Oryctolagus cuniculus: one gene and its partner. The protein of the gene in region 2 purifies or fractionates together with the protein of the main gene of each other region. This does not show direct contact. Links are inferred from orthologs where the notes say so. Each region holds a gene or a part of one and is shown on either strand. Other genes may lie near its edges.

Evidence for each region.
Region 1: the proteins of S100B (region 2) and IQGAP1 purify together in Homo sapiens (co-immunoprecipitation; 3 studies listed by BioGRID and IntAct, with this or other methods). This does not show direct contact. The link is inferred for Oryctolagus cuniculus from reciprocal best matches to the Homo sapiens genes S100B and IQGAP1.

The regions. Positions count from the first base shown.
Region 1 is NC_091443.1:100,819,466-100,824,054, reverse strand, and holds the start of IQGAP1 (ras GTPase-activating-like protein IQGAP1), read left to right. Parts: upstream 1-1,669; 5' UTR 1,670-1,814; coding exon 1,815-1,869; intron 1,870-3,798; coding exon 3,799-3,898; intron 3,899-4,589. UniProt on the Homo sapiens protein: Plays a crucial role in regulating the dynamics and assembly of the actin cytoskeleton.
Region 2 is NC_091435.1:235,848-240,385, reverse strand, and holds the start of S100B (protein S100-B), read right to left. Parts: upstream 2,957-4,538; 5' UTR 2,810-2,956; intron 1-2,809. UniProt on the Homo sapiens protein: Small zinc- and- and calcium-binding protein that is highly expressed in astrocytes and constitutes one of the most abundant soluble proteins in brain.

The DNA of each region.
Region 1 (4,589 bases), on a different chromosome or scaffold from region 2:
TAGACAATTGAAGGAATTAAAATTTGAAAAGATTTACTTATTTATTTATTTGAAAGTCAGAGTTACAGAAAGAGGAGACAGATCTTCCATCTGCTGTTTTGTCCCCAGATGGCCTCAATGGTCAGGGCTGGGCCAGGCCAAAGCCAGGAGCAAGGAGCTTCCCATATGGATGGCAGAGTCCCAAGTACTTGGGCCATCTTCCACTGGTTTCCCAGGCTCATTAGTAGGCAGCTGGCTCCGAAAGTGGAACAGCTGAGACTTGAACCGGCACCCATATGGGATGCCGGGGTTGCAGACAGCGGCTTTACCTGCTACACCGCAATACATTTTAATGTACTGTTACGGACATAAATTTAGGTGTCTGAAGACGTTGCGTTAATGAAGTCAGTTGTTTGGTTTCTGAAACGGGATTGGTAATAGAATAATACAAATTGTAAGGTGAACTCAAAAGCTGAAAAAGGAAATGACTTCGGTAACAATAACAGACCACACCCTTTTTTTCTGCGGGGGTGTTTGTTCTCATAGTTTTTTTTAACTGTCGACTTTAATAGTTTGAAGGAAGCGTGAATAAACTGTAAATGGCGGGTTGGAAAAGGCTGCAGCCAGACTGCGAAGAAGCTTGTTTGGCCTACATAGAAACCTGGACCACATTCTGGAAGGAATCACGAGGTGAAAAAGAAGAAAGCGAAGCACCGGGCATTTTTGGTTTAGGAAGTAGCCCTGGTCGCCGTGAGGCGCTGGCTGGCAGAGGCGACCACGGGGTCATCACAGCGGGGACAGGCGAAGGCGACACGCTGCAGAAATAGCCTGGACCGCACGTGGGTGGGCTGCCCTGACTGGGAACCGAGTACTTCTCCCGATGGCGACCACGGCAGGCGCAGGTGCAACCCGAAGTGTCTGCGGCACCCACAGGTGATACAGTGCTTCTCAGCTGCAAATCCCGAGCGGCTTCCTGACCGTCTGTTTAGCAGTCACCACGGTTTAAAGGCAGCGTAACCTCACCCAGAGCGGGCCCAGGGGCAGTGGGAGAGGGCCGAGCATGGCATTCCTTGGAATACCGGCATTTTAAGGGCAGGCTGCCAGGCGCAGAGAAAGGGGCGTCCGTGACGGGGGTCGAGAGTCCCCCGAAAAGGAACTCGCAGAGAACAAGGGCAAGGACACTAAAGGAAGGGCGTCCAGACAAACGCGGCGCTCCCGTGTTGGCTCCTGCATCGCAAATACTTGAGAGACTGCGCAGTTCCGAACCGGCGAGCGCCGGCGCACCTGGGCGGGACCGGGGCCAGATGCGCGGGCTGGGACCGGGCGTCCCTTACTTAGCACGCTGGGTTCTGCGTGGGTCCAACAGGAACACCGCGAGCCTCGGGGTAAAGGAGGCTAGCTGGGCCAGCAGGGGAAGCCAGCCGGCCCACCGCGTCGACTTCTCAGCCGCCGACCCTACCAGTCCGGCTGCCTGAGCTGCGGGTGGGGCGGCGGCCCCGCAGGGCGGGGCTGCAGCCCGGGAACTCCTTCCCGGCAATCGCCGAACCCAGCACGAGCCCGATTGGCCGGCGGACTCCGCCTCCTTCCTTCCGCCTGCAGAAGACGTAGCGGCTCGCGGGGAGGGGCGGAGCTAGGGGCGGTGCCAGGGCGGGCCCTGACGGGCACGGACACGCCCCCTTTCCGCTGGCTCTGGGCGGGGCCTGCGGGTGGGGCCGGCGGCACGGGGCGGGGCTCGGACACGGGGCAGCCCGCGCACTCGGCAGTCGCTGCAGCTGTCGCCGCCCGCGCCTTCGAGGTCTCACCGCTTCCTCAGCAGAGACCTGGGCTCGGCCGCCATGTCCGCCGCGGACGAGGTTGACGGGCTGGGCGTGGCCCGGCCGCACTATGGCTGTGAGTGAGGGGCTCCGAGGTGCAGGGGCTTCGGCTTCGGGGTCGGGCTTGCTGCCTCGGAGGGGACTCGGCCCCGGTGGGTGGGGCAGGGCGGGTGCGGGCCGCGCGCACCCGGAAGCGCTGGTTCGGCCGGTGGACGGCGAGGCCCCCGGCCCGCGCCTGCTCGGGCTCTGAGGCGGCGGGGAGGACCTCGGCGGCCTCCGTGCCGCGGCCGGGGGAACCCCTCCCGGCGCCTCCCGCCGCCCGGCTCTGCCGAGATTGGGAGCCGGCGCGGGTGAGGTGGCAGCACGGTGCAGGGCGTGCCCCGGGGGCCGGGGGCCGGTGCTCTGCCCGGCTCCGCGGGAACGTGCTGCCCCGAGGGCTGCCTGCCTGCCCGCGCCTGGCCGCGAGGTGCGGTCCCGGGCAAGTCGCTTCAGCTTGCTGGGGCTTTAGTTCGCTTGTAAAGATTTCAAAAGAAAGAAAGAAAAAAAACACCCCAAATCCTCTGACTTCCTCATTTTCTGTAGCCCATCCCTGGGACATTAAATTGTAGGCGGGATACTGACTGCTGTTTTGGGGGGGGTGTCGCTGGGTTCTCGATTTTATTCTCTGGAGGCTGTGTTATTGTTTTAAAGGATGATTTCCCCCACTGACAGTTATACGTGGGGTACTGTGCCACGTTTGTGAAATTAAAGATGAGTAAGACCCGGCCCTGCCTTCGAAGATTTTTTTTTGTTAATCAGAGAGACAGGTGTACACGCTGAGAATGTGCGGTAAAGATAAAAGGTGCATAAGTAGGCGTTCAGGGTGATCGGAGTGAGGAGAAGGGGTCTGGGAAGACGGCCCAGCGCAGGTGGGGACGCTGGAAGGGAGCCTTGAAGGTCAGGGTGGGGCAGGAGGCTGACTTGCAGAGGGAGGAGGGGTGACGGGCGCTGCCTCTCGGTGGTGTGCAGTGCACCGTGGTGGGAGGCAGCACGGGGAGAGGGCGAAGGGCTTCCGGAAAAACTGGGACAGGCCTTGAAGTCCTTGCCAGGCGGTTGGGAGTTTGTTCCCCAGCCTGGCTTGTGTGGAGGAAGCAGATTGCTTCAACCTCAGGCTCTCAGGCTGCAGAACCCAGGCCACTGCCACTTGGGGTGTGCCTGCGTGCGTGCATGCGTGCGTGCTGAACTCACTGAGCCTCAGTTTCCCCAGCTGAAAAACAAGAGTGCTCATCGCTGGGCCTTCAGTGAGCCAAGGCTGTAAGCTGCTCAGCACGGTCACTGCCGCTGGGTCCAGAGCTTCAGGGTCTGGGGAATGATGTGGCTGGACCTGGCGGATAGACAAGGCACAATTGGGCCTAAATAGCAAGTCAGCATTTTTAAGATTTGTTTTATTTTGAAAGACAAAATGACATAGAGAAAGGGAGAGACAGAGAGAAAGAGAACTTCCAGCCACCTGCTCACTTGCCAAGTGGCTGCAGCTGCCGGGGCTGGGCTAGGCCGGGCCTAAGCCAGGGGCGTGGACTCCATCCCAGTCTCCCACGTGGGCCCAAGGACTTGGGCCATGCTCCGGTGCTTTCCCCGGCGCATTAGCAGGGAGCTGGATGGGAAGCAAAGCAGCTGGGACTCTAACCTGTGCTCTGGTATGGGATGCCTGCATGGCAGGCGGTGGCTTAACCTGCTGCGTCACAATGCTGGCCTTTCAAGTCAGTGTTTTGCAAGGCTACACTGAAATGCAGTTCATGCTCGTACTTGTGTTATGCATTTGGAAAAAAGAACAAGATGAGTATAATTGAAACTCCATGGTTCTTTTTTTAGGAAAGCCATTGTAGCGTATCTAGCTGTCTACACAGCCTCCCGCTACCCTGACCTTGCGGGTGACTTGCAGCAATTTGAGGGCTGCCACATTCTCTCACCTCTCAGGACGGTGACCAATCTTGGGGTTCACGAGGTTCTTTCTTTCGCGTTTTAGCTGTCCTGGATAATGAGAGACTCACCGCAGAGGAGATGGATGAAAGGAGACGGCAGAATGTGGCGTACGAGTACCTTTGTCATTTGGAAGAAGCCAAGAGGTAAAGGAGACTGGGAGAGGGGAACTGGTCTGCTGGAAATGTGGTCACATATTCCCATGTGCGTGCCGCAGGTGCGGCGGTGGGACGTTGGGGCCGAGGGGATAAGTATAGGTCAGCCGTTTATTCTTGGGAGCAAGTAGCCTTGACGATCATTTATCATGAAACACTTAGAAATTTCCACGTTGGTGCTGTTAAGTTTTATCCTGAAGGTGCCTGTCTTAGGCTCCACCATCTGTGAGGGAAAAGTCGTATTTTTAGGATTTGAAGTTCTTGGTCTTAAAGTCCTATGAAATCTTCACTGGTTTTGGTTTATCTGTGACTTGAATCCCCTCACTTATGACTCGGGGAGTGTACTTGGTCTGGCAGGCTTAGGAAGTAGCGTTGTTGGGGCATAGCGGGTCAAGGCACCACCTGCAATGCTGGCATCCTATGTGGGCACTGGTTCCTGTCCCAGGGGCTCCACTTCTGATCGATGGCCCTGCCACCCCCCTGGGAGACCCGGATGAAGCTTCTGAAACTTTTGGCTTCAGCTTGGCCCAGGCCTGGCCATCTGGGGAGTGAACTGGTAAATGGAAGATGTCACTCTCTAACTTTTACTTTGAAATAAATGAATCTTTAAGAGAAGAAGAAGAAGGGTCGTATTGTGGATGTGGGCCATCCGCTTGGCAGCACTGGGACTGTTCACAGAGGC
Region 2 (4,538 bases):
AATGCAGGGATAACAGTTTCTCTGCAGGGGCTGGCTCTGTGTTATAGTGGGGTAAAGCCGCCATCTGTAGTGCCAGCACCCCATGTGGACGCCAGTTTGAGTCCCAGCTGCTCCACTTCCAATCCGGCTCCCTGCTAATGTGCCTGGGAAAGCAGTGGAAGATGGCCCAAATCCTTGGGCTCCTGCACCCACGTGGGAGACCCAGAAGAAGCGCCTGGCTCCTGGCTTTGGATGGGCAAAGCTCCAGCCATTTCGGCTGTTTGGGGAGTGAAACAGCGGGTGGCAAACATCTCTCTCTCTGCATCTGCTTCTCTATAAGTCTTTCAAATAAATCTTTTTTTTTTTTTTTTAGGAAAAAATGTTCTTTGTAACTTAGTATATAGTCATTGTTTTAAAAGAGTTTCTCTGCAGAAATCAAAGTAAGAAGCTTCCTACTTCTCTCACAACAGGTATCTCATACCATGGTTTGCAACAGAATATCTGGTCAATCATCGCTGTGTATCATATTTTGTAAGAATGGATTATCAGTTGGTTCACAAAACTGAGATGGTTAGGCAGAGAAATTTATCAAATGTTGGCCTTGAGTTCTAATCATTAAATAAGAACCTCAAAGACTGATGCTGTGGCCTAGTGAGTAAAGCTGCTGCCTGCGGTGCTGGCATCCCATATGGGCACTGGTTCGAGTCCCAGCTGCTCCACTTCTGATTCAGCTCTCTGCTATGGCCCAGGAAAGCAGTGGAAGATGGCCCAAGTGCTTGGGCCCCTGGACCCACATGGCAGACTGGGAAGAAGCTCCTGGCTCCCGGCTTCAGACTGGCCCAGTGGCCATTGTGACCATTTGGGGAGTGAACCAGCAGGTGGAAGATCTTTCTCTCTCTGCCTCTCCCTTTGTCCCTCTAACTCTGCCTTTCAAATAAATAAATAAATCTTTAAAAATAAAAACGAAGAACCTCTGCACTATCATAATTTAAAATGTTTTAAAATTACATGTTGTTAAAAATCATTCCCATCTTGCATATGTCATCTCTTAAAAATCAGTGTAAATGTTTTGCTCTTAAGTCCCTAACAATCTGATATATCACAGGTGGATAGAACCATTTATATACATTGAAATATTTACACTTCCTACTTTTTTAAAAAGATTTATTTATTTTATTTGAAAGTCAGAGTTACACAGAGAGAAGAGAGGCAGCGAGGCAGAGAGAAAGAGAGAGAGAGAGGTCTTCCATCTGATGATTCACTCCCCAATTGGCTGCAATGGCTGGAACTGCACCAATCTGAAGCCAGGAACCAGGAGCTTCTTCTGGGTCTCCCACATGGGTTCAGGGGCCCAAGGACCTGGGCCATCTTCCACTGCTTTCCCAGGCCACAGCAGAGAGCTGGATTGGAAATGGAGCAGCCAGTTCTGGAACCGACACCCATATGGGATGCCAGCGCTTCAGGCCAGGGCGTTAACCTGCTGTGCCCCTACTTCCTACATTTTTATTCTTTGCGCTCAAGTTTTCAATTGATAATCTATATTTTTTAAGGAATAAAATAATCTTTGCATCATACTGATGTTTCCTTCTCAAAGTCTGTGATAATTTGGGGAAGGGGTAATTAAATTATGTAAGTGTATGAGATTTTTTTAAAAAAGGGAAAACATAAAATAAATATTCCATATCTTAGGGAACTCCATAAGATGTATTTTTCTTGGAGCAGGTGTTTGGTTCAGCAGTTCAGACACTGCCTGGGACAGCTGCATCCCATACTGAGAGCCGGGGTGCAGTCCTGGGCCCACTTTCAGTTCCAGCTTCCTGCTCATGGCACACTGGGAGGCGGCAGCAGTGACTCCTGCACTTGCTTCCTGCCACACACATGGGAGAACCGGATCGAGTGCTGGGGTTCTGTGAGCATTTGGAGAGTGATCCAGCAGACAGAAGATCTACGTCTGTCTGTCTCTAGCTCACTCCCTCTAACTAAAATAAATGAATAAAGTACAGTTTTCTTCACAACCACATTACAAATTAACTTAAATTTTTTCCTGTTAAATCCTTCCTTTTGAGTTCAGAAATAGCTGATGGCTTATAGCATACCTTTTAAGAGAAATGGGAATAAGCATCTATTTTTTTCCTTGCTTAATTCTGTGAATGTTTTACATTAGTCTTTTTATATAAAAACAAAAGCACTTTTGGACCCTAACTCCTTAAAAAGGCACATTACACATAAGGTGAGTGTTCCTCTGATGCAGGTTTTCTCTCCACAAGAAACTGAAGACTTAGGGAAGTTAAAACCCACTTTCTTCGACCTAATCCATAATTTGTAAAGACTTCTCAGCTGTTGTGTGATTTCTGGGTGTTGTTCAGGGGTACTTGGGGACCCTGGCATTCAAAGTTGAAGGAAACTAGGAAACCAACCCAGGGCTGAGGGAGGAGGAACAGGAGGGGTGAAACACCTGTGACAGGCGGTGAGCCAGCATTAGGTTCTCCAGGATTCTCAGCCCCAGAGAAAGCGAAAGCTTCCTCTCCCAAGAGTTCGGGAAGAGTCAGTACTTGCAGTGCCTCTGGGGAAATGCCACTAGACCTGGGGTTTCTCTCAACTGTAGAAATCACAGCACAGGCACAAGCACTGCTGGCTTAGTGTTGAGGTAACCAAATGCCCACAGAGCTGAACAAGATCAACAGCAAAGTCAAGGTTAACACAGGTGATGCCACGGAAGCTCGAGAAATGCCGCCGTTATCTCAGAAGCCCAGAGTTCCCAGTCTTTGCAACTCTGCCACCCCCACCCCGATCCCCAAGAAATGAGCAGTTTTGTCCTGAGTGTCCTCACCTCCTCCCGGTCACCTCTTGCTGCAGGCGTCCTCTCTCGGCTGCGGCGTCCGAGTGGTGGCTGAGGCTCGCAGCCTCTTATCCCTTCCTTCCAGGGAGGACAGGGCGGAGGACTGTTGCAGTCCCACTGCAGCCGAGGCAGCCAATCAGGGCTGAGGGCGGAGGCGGCAGGGCAGCCAGGCCTGCACACAAGGCCGCATTGACCAAATGCTCCCCCCGCCCCCACCACACTTGCTGGGAAGCCAAGATCACACAGGGACTAAGGAAGAAAGAGGGCCTATGAGGCAGGAAGTGGGGAGTCAGCTTTTTGTGTTTAATTTTTTTTACATATTATATGAATATTGATGTTTCTCTAAAAGCGAGGTTGGGGGTAGGGAGAGGAGAGGGACATGGATTAATTGACTCAAACAAAGCAAATGTACAGCCAAGAAGGAGAGGCTTCGCGCACAGCTGAATGTAAGAGATGAAGTGGCCGTGGGCTGGTTTCCAATGAAGAGGCCAGCGAGCTGCTTCTGTCTGCCAGCCGCTCCTGGTCTGGCCTCTGGGGACATTAGTATGGCAGTGGTCAGCTCTGGGCCAAACGGCACCTCAGAAAAGCTGCGGGGCCCAGTGTCTGCAGGGACTCAGTGCGTGTTTGGGAAAGTCCTTGTTCAAGTCTCTTAGACAGAGAACATGCACCCGTGGAGCCCAGGCCTCCACCTGCACCCTAACTGAAAGGCCACCGACTGTCACGGCTGCACAGAATTTTGGAAACATCCTCTCCGAAGGCTGTTTTCAGAGGTGTAGAGAGAATGCCTCCCATAGAGGCCTCCACAAGCCATGGGAGAGTCACGTCCAGACTTCCTGCTGCCATCTTCACATGTGGAAACTGTGGGGAGCAACTGGGAGCAACTCAGACTAGACTAAGTTACTGGAATTAAGACTTATTCTATGCATCTGCTCTCCCACAATATGGCGCTGGGAGAGGAGCAAACAGCTTCTACCCAGCTGCCTCTCACCAACTTGACAAGCTGCAGGACCTGCTCCTGATTGGAGGAGAGCAGCGTACTCGGCGTGTGGGTAGCAGAGTTGGGATTGGTGGAAGAGGACTATAAAGGAGGAGAGAGACAACACGCACCAGGAACATCTATCTGAAGGAACATCTAAGGGGAACACCTGTGCAGCCCCCGAGAGAGCCGGCCGGCGGTGTGCCGCTCCCCTGCAGAAGTGGGGAATGTGGCCAGGGGGAACCGCCCTTCCACGGAGGTGGAAGGGACGGTAGCCAACCCGGGAAGAACCAGCAGCAAACCCGGGGAGGGCCGAGCAGACGAAAGAACAACGCAGGGTCCTGTGTCGTTCCTCCACGAAGAGGGGGAGCGACATAATGGTGCCGTGACTCGGATATGAAGCCTAGGCAGGGTTTAGTGTCGTTCCTCCACGAAGAGGGGGAGTGACAGAAACCAGTTTGTGGGTGCTGTAAAAAATGGGCGTTCTGGGGTCCGTGCTGTGTCAGAGTAGGTTAAGCCTCCACCTGGGGCACTGGCATCTCATGTGGGCTCCAGTTTGGGTCCCGGCTGCTCCACTTCTGATCCAGCTCTCTGCTATGGCCTGGGAGATCAGCAGAAGATGGCCCAAGTCCTTGGGCCTCTGCACCTGCATGGGAGACTCAGAGGAAGCTCCAGGCTCCTGGCTTCGGATCAGCCCAGCTCCGGCCATTGTGGCCATCTGGGGAGTGAACCAGCGGATGGAAG